Lepisosteus oculatus: one gene and its partner. The protein of the gene in region 1 interacts with the protein of each later gene in a pairwise test. Links are inferred from orthologs where the notes say so. Each region holds a gene or a part of one and is shown in the gene's direction. Other genes may lie near its edges.

Region 1 (15,680 bases):
AGAAAGGGTGGATAAGTGATTGTCATACAGCTCCTAAACCTACCACACAACAGGCCAGTAGCTTCCGACTGGCTTTCTGCTAGCTTTCAGTGGTTCAGTGGAAAATGGTAGACACGTTGAAACTGCCAAACAGCACCAGTAAGATGGAGTCCATATCTGAATCTCTGAAAAGCATAGCCATTCCTGAAGCAAATTAAGTTTGCAGACATAAACCAAGTTAACAGCCCTCTTAATTGGATTTGTGCGACAAACACATTTTGATCAAATGCACAGGTTTTGACAAACATTTGATTTTAAATAAGAGAGCAGTTTTAGCTCTTACATGGTGAAACATTAACACCAGACAATTTCTGGATGTTTTATTCTGACACTGCGTGTAGAATATCACGTCTTACTTTGCTCTAATAACTAGGGGACTGGGGACTGCAATTCTGGAGTGTAACGTTTAACAAAAAAGCATGGCCTCCCATGTTTTTTTATGTAGCTTAAGGATGAACTTTGACCTAACCCATGCCATAAACATACTCTGTCTTGAGCACAGCTGTTCTGATTTGTGTATATTTATATTTTGAATGTAGTGTACTGGAAACAGGAATATATTTAAAAATTCCAGTTATTGAAAAGACTAAAAAGATCCATTAATAACTTAACATTTGCTTGGAAAAGCAGGCAAATCTCCACCAGATAAGAATCGCTGCTGTGTTCTGGGAGCTAGGAGCTGTTGTCAGTAGTAAGATGTGTTTTCTGACATCCACCCTTTCCAATAGTCTCCTACACACAATGGAATCTCATAATTGTTCGGTTTGTATTTTGTGTTTTTGTAAAAAGTTAGGGACAAAAGAACCTGCTTGTATGCCCAAAGATGTGAAAAATCTTTTTTTCAAAATCATATCTTGGTTGTGCATAGAAAAGTGTTGTTATTGTTTTTTATTTTTTAAGAAGAGCAAGTGCAACAGTCAGCAGTCCTCAGTACAGCACACTTGAAAGCAGTGGCTAAAGGACTTGATTATTACAACAGGCTAAATAAGGTTGTAGGTGTATTTTTGTGATTTTGGACATATTTAAAAAGAGCTGTGTTTATTAGTTGAAGCACGTATTGATTTGTCTAAGAGTTAAGATCTGTCATCTATTTGTACAGATGGTCCTTTTGTAGATATTCCTTGACAGTAGTATTAAGCTGTTTACAGGCACAAATTTGCTTAACCAGCCATGACAGTGCTTATTTCTTTGTTACAAATCAAATATTGCTGAATAGAAACAACACAATAAGTGCTAAATCTGACTTTAACTCATTATTTTAATTGGTGAAACTGATGCTCAAATCAGCTGATATAATCTTTAACTATGTATGTTTCTTTTCCTTATTTCCAAAATGCATCTTGGATACACAAGGTGTCTGGGGTTATGGTCAAAATGGTAATTTATTTTTATCTGAATGTTGTGGAGTTCCAGTTTCTTGAAAGATTACCAGGATACTTCCTTGGAAGAATTTAAGATGATCCTAGTTAAAACCAGATTTAAAATTCTTATTTTAAAATTAAACATATAAAAAATACTGAACTCCCAAATTTGAAATCATTTCAGCTTTTGATGGGAAATACTCACTCTGACCACCAGGGAGCAGTATTTGTCTGTTTGCATAGTGTTCTTCAGTTTATCACCTTTTATAAGTTATAGCACTGAGACATTTGAAATGAATGCTTAATAACCTTTTCTTTTTTTAATATAAAATATATAATCTTTCGATATGCCTCCATATAATCATGATGCATTAAGTCCAGTGGATCTGTTGCACTCTGCTCTTGTATATGATTATTGTACAGATACTACTGTTCTATTGTATGATGTTTTTCCTCTTTTGTAATTCAGTCCTTAGGGGGATTAGAGTAGGTGCAGTTTTCCCACAGCGGGACGGAAGGGCAGCATAATTATGACTTGATGACATATTATTGAGAGTTCAGTGGAGACAGAACTAGAAAATATGGCATAGGCTCATCCTGCAAGGTATGAAGATTTTCCTAGCTTGGAAGGCCTTCTCAAATATAAATATGACATTTACAGTAAGATTGTAGTAAGTCTTGTATCAGACAAACTGTGCAGCGTCTTACCAGTGATTTAGGATGATTTAGGAATGTACTAAACACCATGCTTCCCGATTCCTCCCGTTGTGTCCTAGTGTTGTGTTGTGGTGGTGGGTTTGTTTTTTTATTATAAATGAAAACAAGATGAAAAACCTTGTAAGCAATCTATACAGGTCTACCTCAGGATATTGTAGTGTGAATAGGGACAAAGGCAATTCGCCTCCATTGTAGTTACCCTTTGGGTTTTGCTGCACTGGGGCAACCAGAACATTGTCCTTTTTTCCCGTGTAGAAAGTTTTGTTTTGTTTTTGTTTTTTGTGATGTCTGACATTTCCAGAATTGTGCAGCGCGGGTGTCGATGTGTGAATCTTCTTTCCTCCCTCGCGCTGGTGTCCACACACGCTGTGCCAGCTGTGCCAGCGCCGGTGCATGCAGTTCTCTGCCCAGATGGGTGGCCGTTGGTGTCGAGTTAGTCCTGCGTGTGTGTTCTGAGATGACAGAAGGCAGCCAGGTGTGTTCACTGCTGCTTGTGTGGCCAAATGCTGCCAGAGGCCTTCATCCTTTAGGTCTTGCTTGGTCAAGGGTACCCCCCGGGTCCCAGAATGGTTATGGTATTGGTTAGCATAGCTTTGTTCTCCTTCCTCATACTGATCATGAGTTATATTGACAGCAAGGAGGGGTGGTAGTGTTATCACTGCTAGCTTGCATCTCCATGTTCGCAGGCCTGACTCCAGAACTGGCTACCCTCCTGCATGCTCTCTCTGTCTTTTTGTGCTCCTTTTCTGTGCACTCAGATACCTTCCCAACTCCCAGCTGCTTGGCAGAGTGGGACTGATTGGCTGCTTTAAACTGTCCCTTCCAGTATCTGGTTCTTGCTTCCCTTGAGGAAGGGAAGTGAGCACCCCATCTCATTACTAATGACATTACCTGACAGTGGCTATGGAACAACTCTGTCCTAGGGTTTGGAATCAGAGTAGTTCCTTGTGGGGGAAAAAAAGAAAATCTTTCTGGACCTGAAAGGAGACTCGGGCTTCTTCCTCTCATTAAGGTTTTGTGGCTCCATCTCTTGTCAGATAAGAATGGTTTATACCCCAGGGGATTGTTCTACTGGCCAGGTCCAAATCAGGATTGTAGGGAATAAGGTGTTCAGTGGGTGGTATGTTTTTTCTTATGAGTTAGTCTTTATAAAATATAAAGTTTATCCTGTTCTACATTTTTCTACAGCCTCAGAACACTAATGAAAATACTACCCTCTAGAAACCAAAGGACCCACGACAGCTAGGAAGATCTCATTATTCTTTTTTATCACTGGAAAAATCAGCTTAATGTTGAAAGTAAAGGTTGCGGACCCACAGTCAAAGACTTCATTTAGTGCACATGAAGGGAGTCTTCCTTACATTTCCCTTACTACTCGCCTGCGGCAGTCTGTGCTATAGCCATTTTGGGCTCTGGGACGACAGCTGGGGAAGTGTTCCTCGTGCTGAAGCATCAGTAGGGCTTGTGTGTTTCTCTTCTGGGCAGGGGAAGAGGGCAGATTGCCATTGTTTACAGAAGGAGAGGAGGGAAAAGGCTGAAGCTTGAATACAAAAGGGTTTTTGCTCCAATAGACATATTGGGTGGGGTAAGGACAGTTCTGCTGTATTTCCTGCTGCAATTGATTGTGTGGCTTTTAAGACTCCTGTAAAAGAAGAAGGAAACCAAATCGCCGAATGCAGTGTCTGTGGTGACGTGCAATATGTCTGCCATGGTATTTGAGTTACCGTTGTGCTTTCAGATCCTCTACTTGCAGGGAAATAGATAACAGCCACACTCTCCTTTATACCCTGCTATCTGAACACCATACACACCAAAGTGTCATCTTCATTTTAAACAATACTCAGGGTTGCATATTAAGCACAACTTAGGAACACGTATGACTTGCACAGAGGCCCTTGTGTACGTGTAACTGTGCTTTTATTGTGTGTCTTTTGTTTTGTTTTTAAATTAGACATTTCATTCAGAGGTGTGCGTTCTATTGGTGTAAATGCCTAATATAAATCAAAAGATTGTATATAAAGTGACCGAAGAATGTAGTTATGTTTACTGCTATAAACCAAAGGTTTATGTGTAAAACTCCAGCTTTGGGGTGTTTTTCCTTTTAAACTCCTTTATAATTACCCACGTGTCAACCAAACCAGGTGGGTTTTGGGATTGTTTGGGTTTTTTATTCTTTTTTTTAAGTATTTGAAGCATGCATTACAAACAGAACTGTGATCACAGTGTTTCGTAGTGTTTAAAAACATCTACAACTTGCTTTCTAGTTAATAAAAGTATGTCCATATAAGAACCACATGTGTCTTTTGCCTTCATTCTAAAAGATCCAGGATATGTACTTTCTGTTTGGTGCTTCTTACTCTGGGTTTTTTTTTTATCTGCATGGGAAATTCAGAAATGGCCCTAGACTATCCTCAGAAAACCCCGCAATCTTTTCACCCAGGAAAGAAGAGAGTAAGCTCTTGTTTAATTCTCTGTAAACGTTAAAGAGTCCACCCCCTCCCCAGTAGAAGAGACTGAAAGAAGATTCACAGAGAATATTGCAGCATTCTGTTTAAACTGGCTTTCAGAAAGCTTAATTTAAAAAGTATTAAGAAAATAAATGCAACACAGTAAAAAATAAAGCTGTATACAGCATGGGTGCAAAGCAGTAATGTGAGCATCTTGGTGGTGTGTCTCCCATGTCTACAGAACATAAGTGCGCTTATCAAGTTACGGTCTGGGAATTGTTCGAATTTCAGGGATGCACTATAAAGGTGGAAGAAGGAAGCAGAGGAGAGCGGAGAGATCAACAGAGCTGTCTAAACAGACAGCTGGGGCAGGAGGGACACTGAGACTGCAGGAGGAGCGGGAGAGGAGGGCGGTGGTGGAGAGAGGGGGAGAGAGAGGACGACAAAAGGGGGAAATGAGACGAAAGGGAGGCCAGACTCAATCAAGAGGTGATTGAAGATGATGGCGGTGCCTCCAGAAGAAGATGGCTGTGAGACAGTAACAGCGGGAGGAAGGTCTGAGCATCATCAGTACAAAAAGTATACAAAACTTTTTGGGAAGAGATAAGAGGACCATGGCTTAAAGAAGTTAACATTGTTGTCTGTGACGCCAACCAGAAGCATAATTTTAACAAGCCTTGCCAAACCAGCTGGCTAGCTAAAGTATCAAGGATATTAATATGTACCTCTCCTCTCATTATTTAACCCAGAAAGTGGCTTAATACTCATGTAATAGTTCAGTGTGTGTTTCTGTCACAATTCACTTAAAATGTATGTTATTTGTCTATTGCAATGTAAAAAATCTGTATACCGTGCAAAAAAAGAACTTGTTTTTATTCTATGTTGTGTGTTTTTAGAAAAAAATCATACCGATTTTGAATATTGATTTGATGTTTTTGGCTTCAGTTTGATTAATTGATTATTTATGATTGACCGGGCGATACACTCGAGTGAATTTGTAGCATCAGCACTAAATCACTTTGTGACTGAGAGAATTGGTTGGGCACAGGTGATGGGAGAGGGCTTAATGTGTTGAATGTCAGGCCTGGTGAAAATCAAGAAAGAAAAACACAGAAAGAAACCAATATGTCCAACTTACCACTTAATGACACTTTCACATTCTTATTGTATAGGAGGCTGGACTATGTTAGTCCAGTGTTGCTCACCGACAGCCATTTCTAACCTGGCAAGATGTTACAGTCATATTCAGTCTGGCAATTACTGGTCACCTGACATGGTGACCAAAGAGCCACACCACTCCCCCAAGACTGATGTGAAGGTTGAAATATTGTAGCCTGGCCAGCAGTGTCTCTGGAGAACTCCACTTGGAGTGTCTCAAAGAAGCCTGACTGCACAGTACTGAGTGCTGGACATCCCCTGCTGCCCTTGCTGTGGGTCCTTCCTGACTTGAGAACCTCCCATTAGGGAAGCAGGGACAGCGCACACCCTCACACAACAAAAACTCTCGCAGCCCTCTCCAGGGAGTCTCCAACCAGTCCACGTTATGCACTACACATCGAGACTGACAAGTTAAATATCCATCCGCTTTCTTTATAGAGCAGTCGGTTCAGAATGAAAACTCTAGATGTTCCAAAAGCTTTATGCGCAGTTTCATCGGGGTAAGAGAGATGCAACGTCGGTTCTCTTGCGAAATGAGAATGTGACAGTTATGACGTGGATGCCCAGCTCACCAGACTGGAGAAGTGGGAACCACCGGTTTAAATATTGTAATATTGTAAATCCAGGCTCTTTGACCCTTGACCCCTGTACTTCAACCCTTCCTGAAAGGAGAACAGGTTGGGATTGGATCTCTGGTGGGGTGTTTCTTCATTACTTTTTTGTTATTTTAAACATATGGAACGCTGATAGATTTTATGTATAGATTTAAATTGACGATTGAAGATTAGTCCCACTAAACATTTTGTGAACTTCCATGAACCCCTTATTTAAGACACCAGATCTGAAATATATGTGTCACAGTATGACCATTCCAGTGTACATGAGCTGTTTCTAACATTATCAGGTAAGCCATTTTAGATTGCCTGGGAGGTTTCATATGTTTGTTTCTGTTAAGATTTCCCATTAAAAACCTAATGTGAACTTTCTGTTTTTGGAGCGGCCCCTTTAAGAGAATATTTCATAGGGTAAAAAATAAGGGGGGCGGTTGCGTCTTTCTCGTTAAACGTTACTTAATAGGTGTAAAGCAAGCAGCGTTTCTGTATTCCACTTCCTTTTTTATGTGAGGTTTATTGTTATCTGTCTATTTAAATGAGGGACGAACCCCATTTTCTTCAGGATACAAACACTTCTTTCTCCTTTGTCACCCTTTTAAAATAAGCCTACCCGTCCCTGAGCCACTTGGAGCGAACCAATCCATACTTCTTTAGAGGGCTTTCAGCGCAATTGTTTTCGCGGAAAGTATATCGTGTCAGATCTTAGACAAGGATAGACCGTGTTATTTAGAAAAAAATATTAATTATTACACTATTTAAATGCGGATCTATGTTTTGGGAAACGATCCTTGAGCAAGGGAGTTCTTGAATGACTCCCCTCCGGATTTATCGGAGTGAGCGATGCCCGGCGCGTGCACCGAATTTGAAAATGGTTTCTTATACGAGCTCTGGCCGTGGCTGCGGGGTGACGTCGCCCCCTGCTATTAAATATACCATCGTAGTGTCTCTTCTTCTCGTGTATCAGCTTGTCATTTGTATAGTTCAATAAAAAAAAATAATATTTGGTCAAATATTTTGTCTTGGAAGGGGAGGGAGAGGGAGGGAGGAGAGATTTGTTTTGGTTGGGTTGGGTGATGGAGGAAAAAGGGGGTGGGGAACCCTAATCTGCTCCCAGATGTTAAATTGTCCTGAAACGTTTCTCTCGTTTTGAGAGGTCACTCGTCAGAAACAATCCTTCCAAAACACTGGGGAGTGGTTTTTTTGTTTGTTTGCTTTTCCGTGTGTTTCAGAGCTACCGTCTCCTTCCCGTTAGGGTGAGCGGCGGCGGGCGGGCGGGCGCGCGCGCCGGGACCGGGAAGCTCCTCCGAAGCAGGTCCGCGAGCTCCTCTCGCTCACTCGCGCAGCTCGCTGGCACGGGAAGCAGCGCGAGAGCGAGCGCGAGCGCGGCGGTCTATAATGGCTGCCAGCAAAATCCACAGCGCGGGGGAGAAGGCAGCAAATGATCCCGTGAAAGAGAAAAACGTTTCGATCAGGTAACATCCTTTGGGGGGGGTTTATTTTTATTTGATCTGATGATTTGCCTTCCTCGTCGTGTGGCAGGTAGATGAAGACGTGCGGGTTATCCCCCACTGGTGTAAGAAAAGCTGTTGTCCAGGGACACGGGGGACAATAAGCAGTGGTTTCGGATCCATTAAGTGTTACACACAGTATTGTGTGCGAAAGAGCTGAGGGGAATTGTAGTAACCTTCGTATTTTTTCAACTTTCTAGATTAACGTAGTGTTCGCACGCAATCCAGGTCCTCGGTCTCCTTATTTGCGGTCTTTGTGAAGAGGGGCTCGCTTCAGTGTGAAGGAACATTGTTAGCAACACGCCTGTCGTCCCATTGTGTTTGTGTATTGCACTATAAAATATTCAGGAGCCACGTTTTGCTGCTCACGGATGGTGGCGGGCCTTATTTTGTCGTGCGGGCGAAACCTTGTTTTCTTTCTCGTTGGATCCCAAATGCGCCGGCATCGCCTGGTGTTGTTGTGTCCATGTTCTGAACAGGGGTGCTAGGAGCAGGACTTGCACGGCTCACAACCACGCTCACGTCCCTGGCTCTGCTCAGGGTGATCGTGCGGCATGCTCTATTCTAGCCTGTGGTTTTAGTTGACAGTCTTGCCACCTGCGCGGCTGAGCCCGATCTGGTTCTGGTTCGGGGTGCACACACCGCAGGCGGGAGCTGCAGTCCACTTCGTGGGCTTACAATTCACTCTTCTGTTAATGAGCGGTCCATTACCGACAATACGACTGAGCTGGGTTTAATTTCAGAAACCTGACGTGATGGCTTATGCCTAGCTTACACACTAATATGACAGGGGCCATTGAGGTCGAACATGAGCTGAAGACAGTCTAGCCTCGCCGTGTAGGATACCCTTACCACTGTTCACGAGTAAAGACATTGTGCAGTCCAGTGTCCAGTCGGTGTTTTAGACGGGTAGCCCCAATGATAGGTAAACAGTGACAACAGTAACTTCACCACGTTGCACTCGAGTTTTCTAGAGTTTGGTGCCTAAAAAGGACGTTGAGGCGCGAAACAAAACCGCAGTAACGAGAGTTTCCAGTATTGACGTTTGTCACAAGCGGTGTGTTTTGAAATACGAGACGTCCCAGTGCATTACCACACGGTTGTGCTTCGTAGCTTTATTAGGAGCGGGATCTTCCCGGAACACTCCTGTGTGCGGTACAGAAAGTGAAAGCACTGGCTCGCCCTTTGCAAACTGGACCTAGTTGAATAGAAAACAATAGAAGGGTTGCTTTCTGACGTTTGAAAGGAAATCGCAGAGTGTTTGCGAATGGCTGCTTTCCCTTGCATTTTTCAGTCGTGTTTTAAAAATTAAGTGCAGGGCACTGAGCTACTCCGTTTCAAAATCGAGCAAGGGCAGAAGCTGCATGCTCTTTAAGAGACGTTTACAACATCTTTGTGAAGGTTTTAAAGCTTTTAGAATAGTTTCCCCCTTTTAAAACAAAGCACGAGAGAAACCTGGACACAAGTCAGCATGTTAGTGTAGGATGGTGATAATGCTCAGCCTTTGGATAGGAGTATTACAGAAAATACCGTTAGTTCAGATTGTGAGTTGTTTTGTCTATATATATATACCTCAGATGCTAAAAGAATTGCATTTTTTAACAGCATTACTGTTGGTTGACTAAATTCATGGGATTAGTCTTTATTCTCACTTGCCACTGAGAGCAGCCTTTGGTTCTATACAAGGTCCCATTTATTTATCTCGAGGCCCAGAACGTTACAGCTGAGACAGGAAGAGACCGAATTGCATGCCAAGAGAGACTGCTCTGCTCAAGTTGCAATCAAGGAAGTAGAGGCTGTGTACATGTGGTTATTTTGTACATCAGGTGCTTTTTGCAACATCACAGCCTGTGGACTGAAATGACAGTCCAGAATGTATCCACGTGCAAAGGTGAAAGCAAATTGTAGAGCTCTGTGTCAGACATAGGTTGAGAAAAGGAATTAACAATCAATAGCATTTTCTCTTAAATCTAATTTTACCATGGTATGAGACAAGCTGTTATAACGTACAAAGCTGGCTTAATTTTTTATTGTTATCCTGTACTAAGTAGCACTATGGGCCTAATATTAATATAATGAGATATGTTTTTCAGCACACTTTTAACAAGAATTGCTGTTAAATATTTTTTCTGGTTGCTTAAGATGAGGAAAAGGATTCTGATTTCACAGTAGGATACACCACAATAATGCTTTTGCATTAATTCTTATATCTGAGCAGTTTTCTGCAAACTGTGTTGTAACGTGGAACTGTCAGACTCTACAACAGAAGCAAAATAGTGGAGGGGAAAATACTGCAAAAATTTGATTAACCCAAGTGAACCCAAGAATAAACCCAAATTATATATTAAAAGGTTTAGTGGTTTAGGGAGTTAAAAGGTGTATTTGGGATGATACCGTAGTTTAAAATATTATTGCTGAAATCATCAAACTTGTTTTATGTACATTCAAATATTTAATGAATTCTCTGCTGCCCCTTTCATACTGCCAACTATGAAAGTACTGTCGATTTGGGAGAGCACTCTCCAGCTCTCTGTCTGCTTTGTTTCAGCGAGTGGGTGGCGAGAGAATGGTGAGCAGCCAGCCCAAGTATGAGCTCATCCAGGAGGTGGGGCGTGGCAGCTATGGTGTGGTGTACGAGGCACTGGTGAGGAAGACCGGAGCTCGTGTGGCCGTCAAGAAGATCCGGTGCCACGCTCCTGAAAACGTGGAGCTGGCCTTGCGGGAGTTCTGGGCTCTGAGCAGCATCCAGAGCCAGCATCCCAACGTCATCCACCTGGAAGAGTGCATCCTGCAGCGAGACAGCCTGGTGCAGAGGATGACGCATGGCTCCAGCTCCTCGCTCTACCTGCAGGTATGCGGCTGTTGGTTTTGTTGAAGATCGCCAGTTTCGTTATTGTCTCACGTTTGCCGGCCCCAGTTTAGTTTAAGCCTGACTGTGTTTCCGCATGGGTGCCGTGGCACTGAAAACAGAATCATGCTTCCCCCACTGGGATGTGGGTGTGTGGAGTTTGTTGGAGACACCTGTGGGTTGCTGTATGACACCCACTGCTGCAATTTCCTGGGTTTATTCGGGGTCATGTCCTGCAAACATGCAAGGTTGCCGTTAACCTTGCATACAGCAAATGTGAAGATGTGACTCTTGATTTTTCCAGTGTAATTGTTGGAGAATACTGATATTTAATATTAATTGACTATTAAGAGATTTCCTGATCACCAAATCATTGAGGACCATAAGCACTGCAATAATTTATTGTTTATATATATATATTATTTAGATAAATTATTTATTTGATTTAATACAGGTATCTATTTAATAGGCAGGTTTTAGAATCTCACTGAAAGTGTTTTTTTCTTCTCCCTGGATGATGGTGTCAACTAAGCCAATTTTAATGATTTTATAAATTTTACCTTACCTTTCAATAGTATTAAATATTATTTATTAAATATATAAGTTGTATATAATCTGAGTCTTTTAATTAAGGGACATGTTTAATTGTATTAACATTTTACTGTGGAATTTCTTTACAGTATGGGTGTTTTTTTTCCTGAGAATTTTGTGACCTGGACTATTTTTTTGTGTAGCACCTATACTGTACATGGTAAATTGCAGGTCGGAGCTTGTAGGTACTCACAAGCTACCGGATGTTTCTAAGTCAGCAGTTAGGATGCATCTCATTCTTAGCTCTGTCCTTGTTCTTTAGTTTTGTCTGCACTTCATTGATAGAGCACATTCCTCTCCAGTCCAGTGTTCACATGATCGGTGCTAACCACAACATTTACAGAGGAATAGTAGCAGATTTTGGAAAGGGTTTTATTTTTTCATTTTTTTCTTGCATTCAAAAGGTCTCTTTCTCCTTGGGCTATTATGTGACGGGTGTTAGTCTGTGTGTCTCTTTGTGCTTTGGCTGGTCACCACTGTGCCCTTAATGTGGAGAAAGGTTGGGCACACTTGTAGGTCCAGCTGTTGGGTCAGGGCTAAATGCGAGTCAGGTGGTGCCCTTTCAGGAGTTACTGCAACGTCCTCCTGTTTAAACTGTTTTATCCTGTGCATGTAGCGTCTCCGAAGTAATAAATACATTGACATCTCGGTGAGAGTGCCTTTTAATTCTTGATTATGAAATCACAGCAGTGCATGAAAGCATTTTAAATAGCTTGTTAGTCACTTCAGTGCTTTGCCATGGCAGGAATTTTGGCAGCCATCCCAGGTTTCTTGCAGAAATGTTTCTGTTGGTGTTTTATGTAACTGCCTCAATTGTTTTCTAATGCAGACAATGCATTTCATTTTGTTATAGGCTTTTCTGTATAAAATGGATGATTTCCCCTCTTTTATCAATCCAAAATATTGAAATCTGCGTGTCCTTCATGTGACCTTTTTCTCTACAAATTGCATAGAATCTACTGTATTTAGCACTTGTAAGAAATAGAAAGCGTTATTTGCACTTCATCCTTTTTTGTGTGAAAGTTGCACAGCGCACTTTCATTTTTTCTGGAGGACTGTCATTGCTTTTTTAGCACAATGACCATGTTTTGTTCTGAGGCTGAGATTCCTTGCTGATATCAATCTCTGCAATCCTACTATAGCACTGCAAGCTATCACCTGCAATAAAATGAAATTCTTATATCTGTACAGGTAGTGTTGACAAATAACATCACTTTTTTATTTTCAAGCTGGTGGAAACATCATTGAAAGGAGAGATTGCCTTTGATCCACGTAGCGCCTACTACCTGTGGTTTGTCATGGACTTCTGCGACGGGGGAGACATGAACGCCTACCTGCTTTCACGGAAGCCCAGCCGTAAGACCAACACCAGCTTCATGCTCCAGCTGGGCAGTGCCCTGGCCTTTCTGCACAAGAACCAGATCATCCACAGGGACCTCAAGCCAGACAACATCCTTATCTCGCAGAGCAGGACTCCCACAGGCGTGCCTGAGCCTACGCTCAAAGTGGCAGACTTTGGCTTGAGCAAGGTGTGCTCATCTTCTGGGCTTAACCCCGAAGAGCCCGCTAATGTCAACAAGTGTTTCCTGTCTACAGCGTGTGGAACGGACTTTTATATGGCCCCGGAGGTGTGGGAGGGTCACTACACAGCCAAAGCAGACATCTTTGCTCTGGGTATCATCATCTGGGCCATGCTGGAGCGCATCACCTTCATTGATACGGAGACCAAGAAAGAACTGTTGGGGAGCTATGTCAAGCAGGGCTCAGAGATTGTGCCTGTTGGGGAAGCTCTCTTAGAAAACCCCAAAATGGAACTCCACATCCCCGTCAAGAAGAAAAGCATGAATGCCAGCATGAAACAACTCATTAAGGAGATGCTGGCCGCCAATCCACAGGAGCGGCCTGACGCCTTTGAGCTGGAGTTGAGATTAGTAAAAATCGCCTGCAAAGAATGTAACTGGGATACGTGATATTAAAGGAAACTTCAAGACGCACACTAAATAACTTTTCTGTGACTCCTGAACGACTTGTAGACAATGGAGCATCAGACCTTTTCAAGAGAACAACACTATTCTAGGGTTGCCGTCTGAAACCAGGGATTCAATTTAATGAAAACGAAGTTAACAAAACTGTAGAAATAACTGCAGTGGTGGTCCATAAAAAATTGAATTTTCAAGGTTAAGTTCATGGTGGTTATTTGAATTTGCTTGGTGCATGTCTTACTAAGAGCCACAAAGAACTTTGCTGCTGCCCTGCCTCTGAGGGCTTTCCCAACAGTGCTTGCTAAGGGTATAGTTTTTAAATGCTGCTAGTTCAAAGGAAAAACCACAGGGAACAAGATTCATTTGGATATTTTGAAATGCTGTTTGGACATTCAACTAGCTTCAGAAGGTTGCATATTGTTGCCTACACAGATGTGAACAGTGTTAAATTATTTTCTTCCTGCCAGACACAGCAGGCAAGCCAATCATTCTTACCAATAGCAACATATACCACAACTGCTAGTTGGCAATTAGAAAATCCTTTTCATAGTTTAAAAGATAATCTAGCAAGTTCCTATAATACACAGTAAATTATATACATGGTCAGGTTTTACAGATTAGAACATCTTAGTATTTGTGTGAAAATGCTATCTACAATTGAGAAATTAAGAGATTGTGATGCAATCAACATTTTCTGCCCAGGAATGCCCTTTCTGTGGGGAAAATTAATTCATTCCATATTTGTGCGCAAAGGGTTGCAAAATGTTGTCCATTGCATAAATATAAGAAGATGATATTCAGGCTGACGTTATTTGAAATAGTTTTTAATAAGGCTCAATGAATACGTGTTGAACAAATTAAAAAATATATACACAAATTGGATTCTCTATTGGGATTTTAAAGATCAGTATGATGCTTTTTTTAGCTCTGTTTTTGCTGAGCTGCTGATCTTGGCTAGGAGCCCTCAGGGAGTGCTGCCCTGGCTGTTGTACTGCCACAGGCTTTGCAGGATGAGTAGTAAGTAGTTAGTGAGTGAGCAGGTGGGCACAATCTGTGGCCTTTCTCCTGGCATCTTAGTAACATCAAGGACAGGTTTCTCACACAGCAGAGGAGAAAATAAATGACCTCCTTATTTAATTCTCGGTTACTCTTTATCTATTCTCTTAACATTCAATGCCCAATCCCATTTTTAAATCCTGATTTCAGTCCCTGCAAATCTATTGCCAGAAATGTGGGATTAGCATGCTGGCCTAAATATTGTACATCTTTCCTTCAGTCTTAATTTTTGTCTGCTCTAGTGCTGGTTCTGTACATGGGTCAGGTATGTGTAGGGTCAGAACAGGTTAATCAACATAATATGCTCATATTAAATGGGGAAAAAAATTGTTGGCCTCTGATAATTATAAAGTATGACAGACTCTAAATGTAGATCAGTCTTCATTCAGAATGGCTAGTGAGTCTGTATGTCTTGGAGTTTTCAAAATGCCTGCAGACATTCTTGTCATTTTGAAGTTATAGTAAACTTAAACATGCTGATGGTCAGCCAGGGAAGTGCCAATAAGGGCTAATACAGGGCAGGATCTGACATGAGGTTACACCAGTTCTTGTCCATTGTGGCTCTTTGCAAATCATCTGAGTCTTCTCAGAACCACTGTGGTGTATATTACACTTAGACATCTGTTTTATCTGCAATAGAAGGTTTTGATGCTATCTGCATATCATTTCTGCAGACTAGTCTGCTGGTTTTGAGCTTGCTAAAAGAAGAAAATAAGGTTTAACTTGGATATTCTTGACTTGTGTACCATTTCTGTTGATTCCATCGCAGTGCCCTTTACTGGTCAAAACTTAAGGTTACATTTTCAACATTGTAAATTTTACAAATTTACTTTTCTGCATCCTTTTGAAGGATAATTAATGTTTTGCAGATATGAGCCAAGGTATTTGCTTCCCAATGTTGATTTTTGAAGGAAAAATAAATACTTCAAATAGTTTGATCAGTTTGGCAGTCTGTTTTCCCCTGCTACGTGACGACACTTATTACCTATTTGCTCATCCCTCAGTAGTGCTAGAACTTTGGTTTTTTGGGTCCATGATGCAAAGAATACTCTCTTGGTACCAAACCATTGCTGCTTAAAATCATCACTCTGTTCTTGCCTTTGCTCAGTTTGAAGCCAGTGGAAAAGCCATTTCCGACTTAATGAATTTTGCCTTCCCTCAGTGTCACAGCACTTTACCCTGCTTCTGCAGTAGTCTCTCCACTCTCACAGGAACCTTCCACCTCATTGGCTGATTTTTTACATTACTTAGAGAAGCTGTAAATAGTCATTTGTTGTTCTGACATTAAAATGTTTGTAGTGTTTAAGAACTTCTTAATAACATAGATGCATGGATGTAATGCTATGCATAATATATTGC
Region 2 (15,680 bases), on another chromosome or scaffold:
GTTATTGCATGTTGAAGTTGTCATTAGCAGAAAACCACAAAAGGCTCTGCAAAATCAAAGAGAAAAGAGTGACTAGCCTAAGCCTCCACAGATCTTGAAACCACGGCCTAAAGTTGCTTTGACACACAATTAGGGCATGTCTAAGAAGCACAACAGTCCCAGTGTGTCTTGCATTTATATCCACCATTTAATCTTTACAATATTACATCTTACCCTCTCCTTTAAATGAATCCTCCTTCTGTTTTGTGTACCTGGTGCTAAACTGGAGATGGGAATGAATGTGAAGGTTCATTCCAAACCTATTTCCTTATAAATAAACAAGAAAAAGCAGTAAGCATATTCAGACACTCATAACAATTTCCAGTAAACCTGCACCTCTTCTTTAACACAACTTTGCTTTCCATGGCATCCCAGAGCACTGATGACTGCGCTCTAGATGTAAATTATAAACGCTTCTGATCTTGAAACACACCCAAAACCCTCCTGGTGTAAGTGTAGCTGTTTTGGCTCCATGAATGGCAGTTCTTTGAGGCCTTAAGAAAGACAGAGTTTGTGTAAACAGCAGCCATTCCATTTGGAAATTTGACAACTCTTAACGTTAGTCTGTGAAAAGATGGCTTTATTTTCAGTCCTTGTAATTCAGAAATGGAAAAACTACATTAATACTCCGATTGCTTATGACATTCAAAACTCTTGCCAACATCAGCATTTTAGGACAAAAAAGAAATTGCAGCACTCCAAAATTATGAAGGGTGTGGCAGAATGAATACATGAAGACTGGTATTAAAAAAAAGCTTATTGACAAGCTGCAATGAAAATGTGAAGCTTAAAGTACATACTCAACCTAACTACAGTCCCAGAAACCTAGTTTCTTTTTTATTGCATTGAAAAGAAAAACTTTTTTTTTATTTATTGGAGATACTCCACACACATGCACACTGTGTAGTTCTTTGGAGGCTACAGATCGTCTGGTAAAGGAACCCATTCTAGTTAATTGCATCAGAGAGCAACAATTTAAACATCCAGCATTGTCAGGAAAATGTGACAATAACAGCAGAGTGAAACGATTCAAATGTCCAGCACTGTAAGGAAATAGAAATAATGCATCACTTCTGAGTGCAACTTGAAAATTCGTTGCTGGGATGTGTTTATTTAAAAAGTTAAAAGAAAACAGGAAGCTACTGTAAAGGGCATCACCACTGACTCCAGTTTTAAGAAAGGCCCAGTCAGCAGTCATTTTTCTGAGTAAAAGCAATAAATAATACAAATACTTCCACCCAGCTTCTTAAGTAGCATATTTTTCTAGTTAAAGACATAGATTCTATCTGTAACAACAGTGAACAGTGTTGCAAAAACAGTGTTATTAGTGCAATTCAAGTAAAAAGAGTAAGAAATGGTATCTCAATATTTGCAATAAAAAAACAAGGAATATATTTGATTTGCCTCATATTTTGGGAAAGAGAACTTCCAAGGTTCCCTTTGAAGAATATTACTTAGCTGTGCATCTTGTTAAATAATTCAATATTGGAATGTTCTTGCCAGAAAACGAAACTGACATACAGTAAATATGAATCTTGAAAACTGCAAAGGAAACAAAACAACATGTCCGATTTACAAGCACAATGTGATTCTTCATGAACTGTCAAAGTTCTAACACCGACTGCAATCAAACCATCCAGGGGAAATGTGCTCTGCTGCAGATGATGTCGAAGTGGCTGACTATACAGGAACAGCTAAGCTCACAATTGCAGGCTGTGGCCAGCTATATATATATAAAAACAAAACTTCTTTCTTGGTAGTTCTTCCATAATGCCAGGACAATAATGATTTACATTCACAGCTGTATTAAATCATGTCATTATCTAGACAATGATGAATTTCACATACTGTACAGTATGTATAGTAAGGGGCATTAAAGGCACAATAAATGCTGTTGGTTCCAATACTCATCTTTTGCATTTTTACTGCCTCTCAGCATTATATATGTATATACATCTCTTGAGGACTGTGGCACCACTGTAAATCCATTTACTTTTTTATTTGTAACAAATTTGTCTTTACACTACCCTATGATAATACACACATTTTTAATATGCACATTTAATCTTAAATATATATAAGAAAGAGACTGACCAAGTTGTCCTTTCGCTGTAAAACAGTATACGTCTGGGGGCCAAAACTAATTTGAGGTTGGTTAACAATGAATTATGATTGGCTCAACTGCAGCCTGCCACTCAAGTGTCCAACCAAACTGGCACACTGCCATTTCCTGCCCAGTCTTGCTGGTTATCTGAGAACAAATGTTTATTTCTTAATCAAAACATGTCATTGTTGTTAGCTGTTGATTTTGACACACAGAAACTGTGTTCTGTTAGCCCCGAACTTTTTTTATAAATAAAGGATCAGCACTTCCTTCAGTATCCAGTGAATATACTGTATTTCCACTCATCCTTCTGAAGCGGATAATTAGTAATCACTTTCTGTTTTATTGATTAAACAGTGAATGTGCCAAACTGTGTTTTGTTAAATGTTGAGAGGAGGAAAAGAAAACAGGTTCTCAGATATGTCGCGTGGAGTAATTTTATTTTTAAGCTGCTCTGCTCAGTGAGTGCCTAAACCTAGGCCAAATTGTATTAGTAATATTTTAGGAGTAAAAATCGTTTATGGATTGTTTGTATTTTCCCCATGTGATTAAGTTGTTAAGCATTCAGTTTAGAATGTATTCCACTAGAAGCTTGTTTTCACGTTACATCCACATAGTCGTTAAATCTGAACCTAAGTTTGAGTTTTCCTCCAACTTACTTTCTGAAAAACTTATTTAAAAAACGTAAAACACTTGGCTTTTGTATTGGGTGCATGTTTTTTTTTAATGGACCACGACTGCCATTTTAAAATCAAACTGTCAATGTAAATTAAAATTTGGACAAGTCCATGAAGTCTGAAAGAAACATAAGCAGTTCATTCAGAGTCTGAAAACCAAATCAAATCTCCAAGAGAAAACAGTTGTCCGTATTTAAAAATATGTATTTTTAAATATTATAAAGACGAAAGTTCAGGATATTGTAGGAGAACGTTTTTGTTCCTATGGGCTCACAGAGGGATACTGTACCGTGACACCCCTGACAGCAATTACAAACTAAGAAAAGACGTGAATGAATTACTCGGCTTTTTAACGATGTAAAACTGGCATAAGGTTGTGATCAGATGTTTAAAAGATCAAGTGTCATTTAATTCACACATTCTTCCCAGACTGAGCCTCCTTAGTTAAAACTGTCAACACCTAAGCTGAGTTGCACGTCGCATACAGTACATAAATAAATCTTATCCAGTAAAAATTCAGTGAAGTCTCAGGCGGAGCCCGGTAAAAGGAATACAACTATACGTTCATTCAGGGCAGTACAATCTTTTTGGCGCATATCAAGTCCTTATTTTGCACTGTATCCCACATTCTAAGCAGATCTGTGGGGCTCATCTTATGGATCACTAGAAGGTTTTTGTAGAAACATGGGTCGTTGTTCATGGGACTGATTTTGCGCTTCATAATCCCAAAAGTCTTGAAACCGGGATGAAGTTCTGGGGCGACACCTATTTTCTGCAAGCACATGCCCAGAAATACATCATCGATGGGATAAAGCTCCAGTTTCTCAGAGACGATAAAGAGTCTCCGAGCTAATTCAGGAGACATTAAAAAGCCCCCACCCCCCACGTACGGGGGGTACGGTTTGTCGTAAAGGTCTCTGGGAATAAAGTACTTACTCTGACGGTTCCTAATGGGAATAGCTTTGGAAATGGTGTCCCCTACAAACAAATTTCGCACTTTCCCTTCTTCTGTCTTAAAATCAATCAGTTGCAGTAGATTGTTCGTGTTCACAAAGACGTCGTCGTCCCCTTTAAATATGAACTGCACCCCGGGGCAGTACATGTTAAACCATTTCAGGAAATTCACCTCTTTGAGGGTGAGGTTGAAAAAGGTGTCCATGAAATCCCACTGTAGGATGTCTCCGTATATCCTGTCCTCATACTGGATGAGCTTTTGGAGGTTCTTCGTGTCCTTGCCGGTGGAAGGGCTGCCCAGCAAAAACAGAGTCTTGATTCTCTTCCCACCGGTTACCTGCTCTCTGCCCCACGTCCTGCGGACCGCCTCCCTCCTGTCGTGCTGTTCAATCACCGATTTGACCACCATCAATAAGTGCACGTCTCCGCTCCGGCACGTTTCTGGGTGGTTTATCAGCATTGGGAAATACCTGCAGTGTCTGTACAGGACGAACTGGTGAAATCTCGGGTCCAGGCGTTTGAACCAGTCTTTATTCTTCACGTCGGGATTCTCGCTGCAGTTGATAGCAGTCACATCCCAAACCTTACGCGTCACGTTGGAAAATGGGACAAGATGACCCGCTTCCGAATTCTCAGGCTGTCCCAGGGGGGAATGATTGTAAGAGTCGCTTTTAAATACATTTTTATTCACCCTGGACCAACCGGCGTCCGCCCTGGTTTTCACCATTAAAGTGCCCTTAGCGGCCTCTTCCACCAGCTTGAACTTCTGGATCATTAATATCGTGGCACAGACCAAAGACAAACTCAGAAGAGTTTTCAGCGCTCTCTTCCGTCTGAAAAAATACTCCATTATCTTCAGCATACAAAGGTGTAGTAGCTGCAAAGGCAAACCTGGTTTAAATAAAAATCCGCTTTTTTCATTGTGCAATTAGCGGCCCCGTCGTCTGGTCGTGCTGTTTTAAATTCCGCAGTCTGTAATAGAAACGGTCAATTGCTGCCACACTTGTAGTGAGCTGCGGGGAACGCATGATCCCCGAAACTGAAATCTTTCCGTGGAAGAAACCTGTGTGCACAGTCATTGATATCCCGCTTGAAATTTGTCTACTTTCTGCGGATGCCTACTGGCGAGGAATACCAATGTCTTCCAGAAGTTACTCCGGCGCGGCTCGCGTGTCTGTCTTTCGCTTTCCCCGTTGTTTGAAGAGCATTTATTGCCTTCTTTTCACACGGAAGGTCCGACTGTTCCCTAGCGTTTTCATTTGTGCTTTGTTTCAACGTCCGCTGCGTCTGCTAATTACTTCTCCGCTACTTTTTTTTTGTCATAGCCTCCCCAACCCACACCTCCTCTCCGAGCAACTAAAGGACAGCCAAGTCTCTCGTTTCACCTTAGAGGGCGAAGTCAAAACCGCCTACAACCGCACCCCGCGAAGTTTCTGTCGTAGCAATATTGAAATACGCGTTCCCCTTCATAACTCATTGAAAAGCGGCTCATAAATTGTGGCTTTAATACAGTATACAGAAAATAAGAAAGGTTACAAACGATAAGATACCATTTGGCCAATCTTTCCAGTTTGCTTCCGTGCAGTTTATTGGTCTGGTCATCTCATTCAACAGTTTATTAAAGGAAGCAAGAGTAGTACCATGGTAGTCTGTTCCAGACACTAACGACTCTTTGTGTACACACAGGTGTTTAAAGATTAGTGGTTTCAGATGTTACTGCCGTTCATGCGGATTTCTTTCTGTACATGAATTTATTATTTTTTTATTATTAAATGCTGGTTTAAACATTGCATACCAAATCTTAATTTTGCTTGCGAGTTTGCAGAATTACAATTTTATTATATTGTCTTTATATATATATTGCTGATACATACAGTAATTTATCAAAAAATAAATAACCCAGTATTCACACACACAAACCAAAACACTGCAGGTGAGACCGTCTGTTTCGTGAAATAAATTAAACTACTTCAGAATCCAGTCAGATTAGCTGGATAGGATTAAATCGATAACTGATTTCAGGTTTGCTCCGTTTTCCCTCGGAGAACTCCGGTTTCTGGTTAAATTGAACAAGTTAGGCCAGTCTGACTACCTGCGCGCTCACGACTACCTCCAGAAGACAGCAGAGCATCAATCAATCAAGATTTATTTATCAATGCACGAACAGTAGAGCATACAGCAGTGTTGTCGGCAATGGCATGCTTTATCCGCATCGATTCCTTCATCAGCACCAGCACCAGTGTGAACGTGCGTTTTTTCCAGTGACCATGAATTACGACTCCTTTTGGAAAACTATGAGGAGATAAAAGCTGTTATACTGTAAATGCTGCAAAAGCCGGGGACGTCGCCTAACACCGTATCGCCGATACAGAAGTTAATAATGAAATATCTCAAGATATGACACAACTATCACCATGGCGAGAGCATGCATATATTATCTTTACTTAACGTTTATCATTATGTTATTGAAGTGGAGCCCCCTTTTAAACTATCACGGCACAATATTGTTTTCATGCGGCAGTAATTGCAGTATTTTATGCATGGAACTGGACCGCAATGGAAAAACAAAATACAAGAATATCATCCAAAGTGGTATGTGGTTTTCTTTAGAACAACTGTAAAATGCTGTACACAGTGTTGTGCAACATTTGAATAAAAACGATACCTCATTTTAGCCAGCAGCAAGAATCATGAGCAGAAGATGACTGAACGTTAATAGTGAAGATATTGGTAATAATGAATGAAGATAATCAACCCAATAAAGAATTATTCCTTTATTGGGTTTTTGTCTTTTTACCAACGTTTTTTTATCTGAATCGATTAGTAGAGGTGAGACTCCCACCACCATATTGATGAAAGTCTCAAGCCAAGTAAAATGTGGCCTAAATATAATCGGAAGAAAAAATTAACCCAGACATAATTAGAGAGAATATATCCTAAAACAATGGCCACCGTTTAACTAGACATGGCCTGTCTGGGGCTGCCCTCAGAGCACTAAGACAATCACATCTTGACTTGAGGATCCCAAATGTCATCTCAATGTGGGCTCTTGTCTTTACTAGGTTCTGGATCAGGGAAGGGGTCAATTAGATGTTGGAGCTGCCATAATCCCTATCCCCAGAAAGAAGCCAGTCAAACTGACTGGAAGCACTGATCGATGGAACTACATGCAATATCTTCACAGCACAGTGTACCTCAGACCAATGGCTGCTTGTGTTCAATACCTTGCTTAAATTTAAAGCGCAATGTGGACTATCTGAATATTCGAGTCTACATGTTGCTGATTCGACACCGTACATCATGGATCATCGAATATCATAGGAAACATGGTGATAATGGACTTTTTGTGTAATCAATTCATATTTTTTAGGCTATAATTTTTTTTTCCACCAGTACATTGATGTCGTGAATTGATTTTCTTTTAACAAAATCGGTCTCCTTCGACCCGGTGGGGCTTTTAATGTCTGTGCAGTTCAGAGCACCTGTTACATTAGAAAATCCTGCATGCAAATATATACAGTAGATCGCGGGACTTATGTACAGGAAACAAAAAGTACAAGTAGAGGGAAGCTCCTCTTTGCACGGCCCGGAATCGTTATGAATGAATATAAAGACTTGCAGTGCAACCACCACTGTCCTTATCACACGGCGCACTGTCGCTTTGCTGATGCGCTCGGAGTCGCGAACACAGTAAAAATACTGTGGCCAAGAATCTCAAGAGCTCGAGTTTCTGTAAATAATGAGTCACAACATTCGGAATATAGAGGTTTTAAAGGCTTAACCTGGTGCTGTTTGATCCCGCTTCGTGAAACCGAAAAGTCAGACTTTTGTTATTCGGTTAACTAAGTAATCTCGATTTGCGAAAGAGCCCCGAGGGCTAAACCACACAAATTCTGCTTACTGTGTATTAACGCAAATGCAGCAAGGATTGTACTTGTGCCTGATGCAAGCTAGAAAATAAGAGAAATGCACCTAGCACCACCCAGTGGCATTAAGAAGATCTACATAATAATAATAATAATAATAATAATAATAATAATAATAATAATAATAATAATAATAATAATAATAACAGCGACACATCTTGTTTTTTATGTCTTCAGCACAAAAGCCATCGTTACACGATATATTAAACACCTGCTTAGTCATACAAATAATACAAAATAAGTTCTTACACAATGAACACTACATCTCACACGCCCGTGTTGCATTTCGGCATTTAATAATCGAGTTGATAGCTGCAAAAAAAATGGAATTCTAATCTATCGGCAAAGCACACGTGTCGATTAATAAAGAACCTGTGCCTCTGGGGGAAGATGCCCCGTACTAAGCACCCCAAGACGCAGCGCACCCTTAACCCCCACAATGGCCGCCTCCGGCCCTCCCGGCGGTGGGCTGGGCTTGGCGCACAGTCGCGTCATTTGACGAGCGGCTGCTTGGAGTTTTGAAGCCGACCGGGCTTTGCTTTTGTAGAAACTTTTTTTTTGTGCGTTACCCTCCCCGGCAATACTTATTAACTTTTGCCTACCTCGGTAAAGCACTGGGAATGAGTCGAAAACAGGTAGGTTAAGCCGGAGAAACTTCCAGGGTTTCAAAAAGTGTAGGCGCGGTACATAGCGATAGACCGGCCTTTTTTAACGGAGACAACTCCCCGGCGTTCGCCAGTTTGAGACGAGAGAGCCTGGACGTGCTGTAACACTCGGGATACAAATTATATTACGATTGTAAATATTTACACCCCTCGCTTACATAATAAAAGCTTCCTGAAAAAGCAAGCTGGGGCCAAGAAAAGTTCAATTTCCCAGAAACTAGATTTCAGACCCGTGTTTCGCTTTGGAAGACGCGTTCAGGCGGTTTTGCGAGGGTAGCGAGGTCTGTGCCTGCGCTGTGTCCCCGGTTGTGTGAACTCGGGTTCCAGGTTTGTTCCGCCGGTAGGTAATGCGTTACAGCGCAGCACACTGAGATGTTCTGTAAACGAAAGGTTTCGAGCGAGAGGAGGCCCTTGAATTCTTGTCGCACGTTAGGTTGCTAGTAGTTCGGTTCATCTGATCCAACCATTTCCACAAGGATCCCAGGAAGTCTGCGCCGACAGCGTGGCTTCGCTGGAGGCTTCAGTTCTACACCCTTCCCTTTGGAAAAAAAAAACCCAGTATTGTTCTAGCAGCACCTCATTCCAAAACAATAACCGGCAGGAATGTTGTGTGTGAAGGATTATGTATCATAAGGGAGTTAGCTGTGGTAAAGAGTGGTGAGAAATTCTATTTAAAGGTAACCTTAGTCTTCCGAGAGTTAAATCTAAAAAAGTAAGGCAAATTGATCCTTAATAGATCCTTTTACATTGTAATATCTTATATCTTTTATATTCCCATATCACATATCTTTTACACATTTTATTATATTGAGAGCTATCATGAAACCATGATGAATGATGTGGTGGGCAATAATTGTGTATTGTTATGTGTGAGAACAAAGCCATAGTTCTCAGTTCTCATAGTGCTAGAACGCCAGCAGCCATATCACTCTGTAACTGGCACCCCACTGAAGCTCAGCAGGTCAGTACCTGGATGGGAGATGAATGGAAAAATTCAATTCCCCTGGAAAAAACTTAGGTTGCTGTTGGAAGGTGTTAATCGGGCCAGCAGCGCTCACCCTGCGTCTCATGTGGGTCCTAATGCCCCAGTATAGTGACGGGGACACTATACTGTTAACAGGCGCCGTCCTTTGGATGAGACGTAAAGTCTCTGTCATCACTAAAAATCTGTTTCTTCTAAAAAAGTTGTAACCCTGGCATGTCCAAATTTCCCATTGGCCCTTACCAATCATGGCCTCCAAATAATCCCCATCTATGAATTGGCTACATTACTCTGCTCTCCTCCCCACTAATAGCTGGTGTGTGGTGAGCGTTCTGGCGCACTATGGCTGCCGTCGCATCATCCAGGTGGGGCTGCACATTGGTGGTGGTGGAGGGGATCCCCATTACCTGTAAAGCACTTAGAGTGGAGTGTCCAGAAAAGTGCTATGTAAGTGTAAGCAATGAGACACACAGGCACACAGAGTGCAGGGTCAGCCATTTATACGGCGCCCCTGGAGCAGCTGGGGTTAAGGGCCTTGCTCAGGGGCCCAACGGAGTAGGATTCCTCTGCTGCCCGTGGGATTTGAACCAGCAACCTGGTGGTGGTGGTGCTATAGTTAGCATTGCAGCGCTGGGGCCCTGGGTTCAATTACAGACCTGGGGTGTTATCTGTATGGAGTTTGTTTTTCCTTTGTTCGCTTGGGTTTCCTCCCACAGTCCAGAGACATGCTGATAGGTTAATTGGCTTCTGTGACACTTGGTCCTGGTGTGAGTGTGTACGTGTCTGTCTGCCCTACGGTGGACTGGCATCCCATCCAGGCTGTACCCTGTTGCTTGCCAGGATAGCCTCTGAAATGGGAGAAGAGGTTAGTAAAAGGATGGCTGTATCAGGTTTGTATCGGTGTTCCTATTCCAGTTGATTTTTCCTTTTTCTTTTCCAGGGCCGGGGTAAAGTCCGGAGCTCGGAGAGACTCAAAGGAAAGAGCTCCCATGCTTCACTCAGCACAGCAGTGGAAAGTTCAGTTCAGGTCAGTCACAGTAATAATAATAATAATAATAATAATAATAAACAGTCAACTACATTTTATACAGAAACCTTTAAAAGTAGGTTCTCATAACACTTTACAGAAAAGGTAAAAGAAAACAGTTAACACGTATAACCACAAGGGATTAAAAAATGCAGTAGAAGATGCCAGGAGCAAAGACACCAACTAAATAAAAGCCTTTCTGAAGAAGTTTTTGAGTCTGGATTTTGTGCCTAGGGTAGGTGACTCTCTGATATCCTTGTAGATAGAATTCCAGAGGTCTGGACCATATAGGTGAGCATGAGGATGTTGAATTTGACATAAAACCTGATAGGAAGCCAGTGCAGGGACTCCAGGAAAGGAGTAATGTGATCACTTGCACAAGACCTGTTAAGGATTCTGTTTGGATTTAGATACCCTAGCGAATGGAGCGTTGCAGTAATCAATTCTAGTTAAGACAAATGTATTAACTAGCTTTTCTGCTACAGACAGAGAATATAGGACATAGTCCGGTGATGTTCCTGACATGTTTTTACAATATATTGTACATGTGTTCAAATGCCAAGCCGGAATGAAATATCACGCCCAAATTCTTCAATTTAGATTGACATTCAAGTACAGTGTCATCCACAGATAGGGTTACTGCATTGGCTTTACATAGTTGATGAGAGGTGCTTAGAAGCATGAGTTAATCTTGTGGCAGTTCAGATGAAGGAAGTTTTGAGTCATGGAGTTTTTTATGTTAGAGATGCAATTAGAGAGCATAGAAACAGCTGCTACAGTGTCAAGTTTAGTATGGATGTAGACCTGAGAGTCATCAACTTTGAAGTGATAATTCAGACCATGTGATTTTAATAACTGACCAAGTGGGAACATGGAAATGCTGAATAGCAGAGGGCCCAGTATCAAGCTATGAGGAACACCAGTCTTAATGGCCCAACTTCAGAACTAAAACCCCTAAGACAGATAAATGTCAGTGATCAGTAAGGTAAAAGTCATGTCAGAAACAGTGTCAAGGTGGGAGAGTGAGATGTCATGATTTAGGAGAATAAGGATAGATAGAGAAGCGGAATCGGAGGCCCAGAGGTGATAAGAAGATTATTAGTAACTTTGAAAAGGGCTGTTTCACCCCGTTCAGGGTTGCAGGGAAGCTGGAGTCTGTTCTGTCAAGCAACAATCAAAATCAGGGTCCTCACATTTCATGAAAGACTTACATTTTTACAGGCTCCCTTGAAGAAGACTGAATCCCATCGTTCTGTCAAACGGCAGAAATGTGAAGTGCCTGAACCGCAGCCAGAAACGTCGGCAGATGTCCCCGAAGACGTCGGTGGCCTGTCGGGAGGAACAGCCCAGGAGCAGGGCGTCAATGGGAGTTCTGCAAGGGAGCTCGGCACAGCGAGAGGCACACAGAGCCATCTCCCCGAGGCAGAGGAGATGAGCGCCACAGGAGCCAGCGAGTGCCGGACTTTGGAGTCTGAATCCGGTGTTGCGATGAACTCGAGTGCGGAGAGAGCAGTTGATAATTGTGTGCCAAAGCTGGAGCTCCAAATGGACAACAGTGTTTTCCTGGACGAGGACAGTAACCAGCCAATGCCAGTGGGCCAGTTCTTTGGGAATATAGAACTTGTACAGGTACCTTATCTGCTTGTGGTAGGGGTGGTGGAATGGTATTGTTATGGAAATAGGCCTTTTGTTTGATTACGTCCCATCCTGGGTAATGAATGACTTCAAACCTTGAAGTGCAGAACATTTTAGAGCAGAATTTCTCCCGCAGATACAAGCCTGGTTGAAGAACACACTTATCACAAATTAGTCATGAGAAACTGGTTTAGTAAGTTACAGATTTAAGAGAAACAGACTTGCACGTCATAGTTTAGGACTGGAAACATGACCACCTCTTTATGGAAAGAGAAAATCGCAGGACTTCTTGGTTACATACTCTGCAGATGTGCATGGCTGTGTCCAAAACAACTTGTGAGCAGGGCTCTGGCCACCAAACCGGAAGGCTGTGTAGTCATGTCCCTAGGTGATGTAGCCTTGAGTGAAGAACAAGGTGTCACATTGACTCTGCCCAGCTTTTAAAACGAGTAGCAGTGTCAATGGGAGTGATCTTGCAGGGGACTAGCATAGCCGCCGATCTGGGAACACTCAGAACTGTTTGCCTTGTACCCCAGAAGCCAGGATAAACTTAAACCTGATTAGCCACCAGATCAGCGCGCATAGCTTGAAGGTTTTATGATAATATGGTTTTGTTCTGCAGGACGATCCTCCCAGAGCTCCAGCAACAGTCCCAATGAGCCGGAGGGAGTACAGGAGGCTACACTTCATTGCTAAAGACGACGAGGATGACCTCTACGAAGACAGCCACGTGGAACAGCCTCAGCAGAATGGTATTTGCTTTACGTTGTCTTTGGGGACTCAGTGTTGCAAATCCCAATCACTTTGACAATCGCTTTTCCTGGAAAACCTCAGTTCACCAAGACATCGCCTTGAATCATGTACTGGCAGTTACATGAAGCAGCCCAGCTGAGCAGTTTCTCAGTCCATTCTGCTGTTTAATAGACTTTTTTAAATTAAGAGACTTTAGTGAGGTCAAGGGATTAAGAAAACCTCTTCAGAATGTAGATGCTATAACACACACAGTACTTCATGTCCAATGAACTTCATGTATCAAATACATCTGAGTGTTAAACAAGTGATGACACATGGCATACCTCCATTTTTTGCAGGTTCTATTAAAAAGACTGAAGCCGATTGCAGGGTAGCACAGATTTTAATGTGGAGCTTGGCACCTCTGTTGCAATATATACTGATTGGAAAATTATCCGAAATGTTATTTGTAGAATCTCCCCTTCCAGAAAGTTGCAACACTACCATACAATCAGGAAGCTACATAAGCAATGGGAGCAGATGAGAGAGGTACTAATTTTCCTTTTTTGGTCATTTTCATTGCCGATGGCTAAAAAAACCAACAACAAATGCTTCTGGTAATTCCATTATCTGTCGGTTTCCTGCGTTGTATTTGGTTAACGGAGTCAGACGGTTTCAGAGCTGATAGGCATAGCGCTCAAACTGCTGCACCATACGTGATTGAACAGCTGAGGTCTGCAAAGTTGTGTTTTCTTCTATCCCACAGGAGCCTTGCAACAAGTAAAGAACAGAAAAAATGGACTGTTTTGATCTTCAGCCAAGACAAAAGGCAACCCATCCTTGTGAGAAGTATCAAGGCCACTTTTCCAAATGGTTTTTATTTTACTCACAAGCAATGTATTACTGTAAAAAAGTGCTTGTGATTGTTATATAATGTTGAGGAGCTTGCTCAATGTTTAAGATTGACTTAAGAAAATGTGTTCAGGTCAAGTAGAAATGAAGGGGTTTACTTTATAACTGAATGTAATGCAATCCTGGATGTGTGTATATACTGTAATACACTTGAAAAAGTTTGTATGAGCATGTTATTTTTTTCTATTCACCATTGCGCTACACTACTGTAGTACCTATATTAAATGCCCAATACTGCCTTAAATGTTAAAATAATGGAATTAGTCTTTATTGCTGGAATTAATTTTTATGTTGATTTATTACCAACTGTACTGCTGTTTGGATGTCGTTTCTGGTTATAGAATGATGCAAACAGCTCAAAAGACTTATGCTTTGGATTACTTATGATTTTCATCACAAATACAAAAATAAACTTTGAAGACATAACGTATAGTGTTGCTCTGATTATATTGTAAAAATTAATGGTTAGATTGAAATGGTTTTCAAAAGTGTTGACAAAAGTGATATACAGAGCATTAATGTGTAGTAATCAATATTCAATATAACATCTTGTATGTTGTGAAATGCTACATGTGGTCAGTGAGTGAAGAATATTTGGGGAAATGGTAAGCAAGTTCAATTGTATTTTTGTACAAGATCAATGCTGTTTTAGTTCAGATTTACTTTATATTCATTTCATGTGAACCTACATTAAAAAGCATTTATAAAACTAGTTATTGTGTTTTGTAAAGCAGTTGCAACACAAGAGGTATTACATGATCATTGCAAACGTTAGGGCTTTCCTTATGGGCCAGTATGCAGAACATAGAGAGAGACCTGGAAACAATGAGAAGTTTGTCGCATTGCACCACAAAGATCTGTAAGAAAGGGACATGGAATCTGTTGTGATTAGTTTGTTACGATACTGTACTTAGATGGACAGATCTCTTTTAAATTTTTAATTAATTCTATGAAAAGTATGTTAAAACTGTAGAAATTGGAGTCTCTTATATTCTTAGTTTTTTTGTTCCACCCATTCTTTCAATACATTCGTGTAATTATCTGTAATGCTTCTTATCACGTTTATGGGGCAACTTATTTTAAGAGAATGTTTTATTGCCTATAAAGGACATTGAGGAGACAGGAATCCTATGTGGGTCTCAGGAAACAATCAGATCGATTATTCTCAAATCTGATTCTCAAATCAGAAGATATTAGGCTATTGAGACGGTTGGAGACCTAGCTGTAATTAGAGTAGATTGGAAACCTTTTTTTACAAAGATACTACACAATTGTAATTAGGTCTATAGTGTGTGATTATTATGACTAAAGGTCATGACAACCCCAAATCTTAGCACGTTTTTAATTAAAAATTTAAAGTAAAAAAATTCCTTCAAATAAAAAATAAATGGCAAACGATATGAAACAAAATCCATAAAAATATAATGGAATGGCCTTTTCTGGTGTTCTGATTAGTTTTAATCACTGTACATTTCAAAAAGATGTTAGAGAACCACAAATATTGCATTTGGAAGACACATTAATGAATTGGAATCAATCTACCAAATGAGTGGAAGGCTGCAGTACATTTGTAAAATTAATTTCTTCATTGTTTCTTCCATCTGCATTAAATTGAAGGGTAAAAGAACATTTTTTCAGCCTAAAACATAAAAATGGCACTTGATCACACTCAGTTATAAAAAGGGTATTTTCTCTCTCAATCTAATCATACTGTATTATTGCTTTTTGATGTGTAAATTCTACAAAAGTAGCTTTTGTTCATTTTATTTTTCAAGTGTTTTGTTCTGGCTCAGTTTCACTTCTTCATATAAAAAGGAAAGTACAAATGCCCTCTGACTTCATTTTATGCGCCGTTTTCCTTTCTTATAGATCTTGTTCTTGTCACACACCAGGTCGTGAACGGATTTCTTATGGCAGACGATGTGCACTAATTTTAAATTCTCTCGGGTAAACAGTAGTCGGTAAAAATAGTCCAAGTTGATTTCACTGCTTTTGTGCTTTTTCAGTGCTTCTGCCAGTGTGGGAAT

What was found.
Region 2: the proteins of pdik1l (region 1) and c25h1orf174 interact in binary tests that used the Homo sapiens proteins (3 or more experiments, as listed by UniProt). The two-hybrid records come from large-scale screens. The link is inferred for Lepisosteus oculatus from reciprocal best matches to the Homo sapiens genes PDIK1L and C1orf174.

The regions. Positions count from the first base shown.
Region 1 is NC_090706.1:5,715,112-5,730,791, forward strand, and holds the start of pdik1l (serine/threonine-protein kinase pdik1l), read left to right. Parts: upstream 1-7,391; 5' UTR 7,392-7,808; intron 7,809-10,392; 5' UTR 10,393-10,410; coding exon 10,411-10,695; intron 10,696-12,512; coding exon 12,513-13,253; 3' UTR 13,254-15,680.
Region 2 is NC_090720.1:3,836,953-3,852,632, reverse strand, and holds c25h1orf174 (UPF0688 protein C1orf174 homolog), read left to right. Parts: upstream 1-8,188; 5' UTR 8,189-8,320; coding exon 8,321-8,335; intron 8,336-10,287; coding exon 10,288-10,374; intron 10,375-11,595; coding exon 11,596-12,003; intron 12,004-12,631; coding exon 12,632-12,761; intron 12,762-13,214; coding exon 13,215-13,285; 3' UTR 13,286-13,290; intron 13,291-13,507; coding exon of another isoform or gene 13,508-13,551; 3' UTR 13,552-14,365; downstream 14,366-15,680. Other genes in the region: b3gnt7l (UDP-GlcNAc:betaGal beta-1,3-N-acetylglucosaminyltransferase 7, like), read right to left, coding at 3,389-4,636; dffb (DNA fragmentation factor subunit beta), read right to left, coding at 15,492-15,680.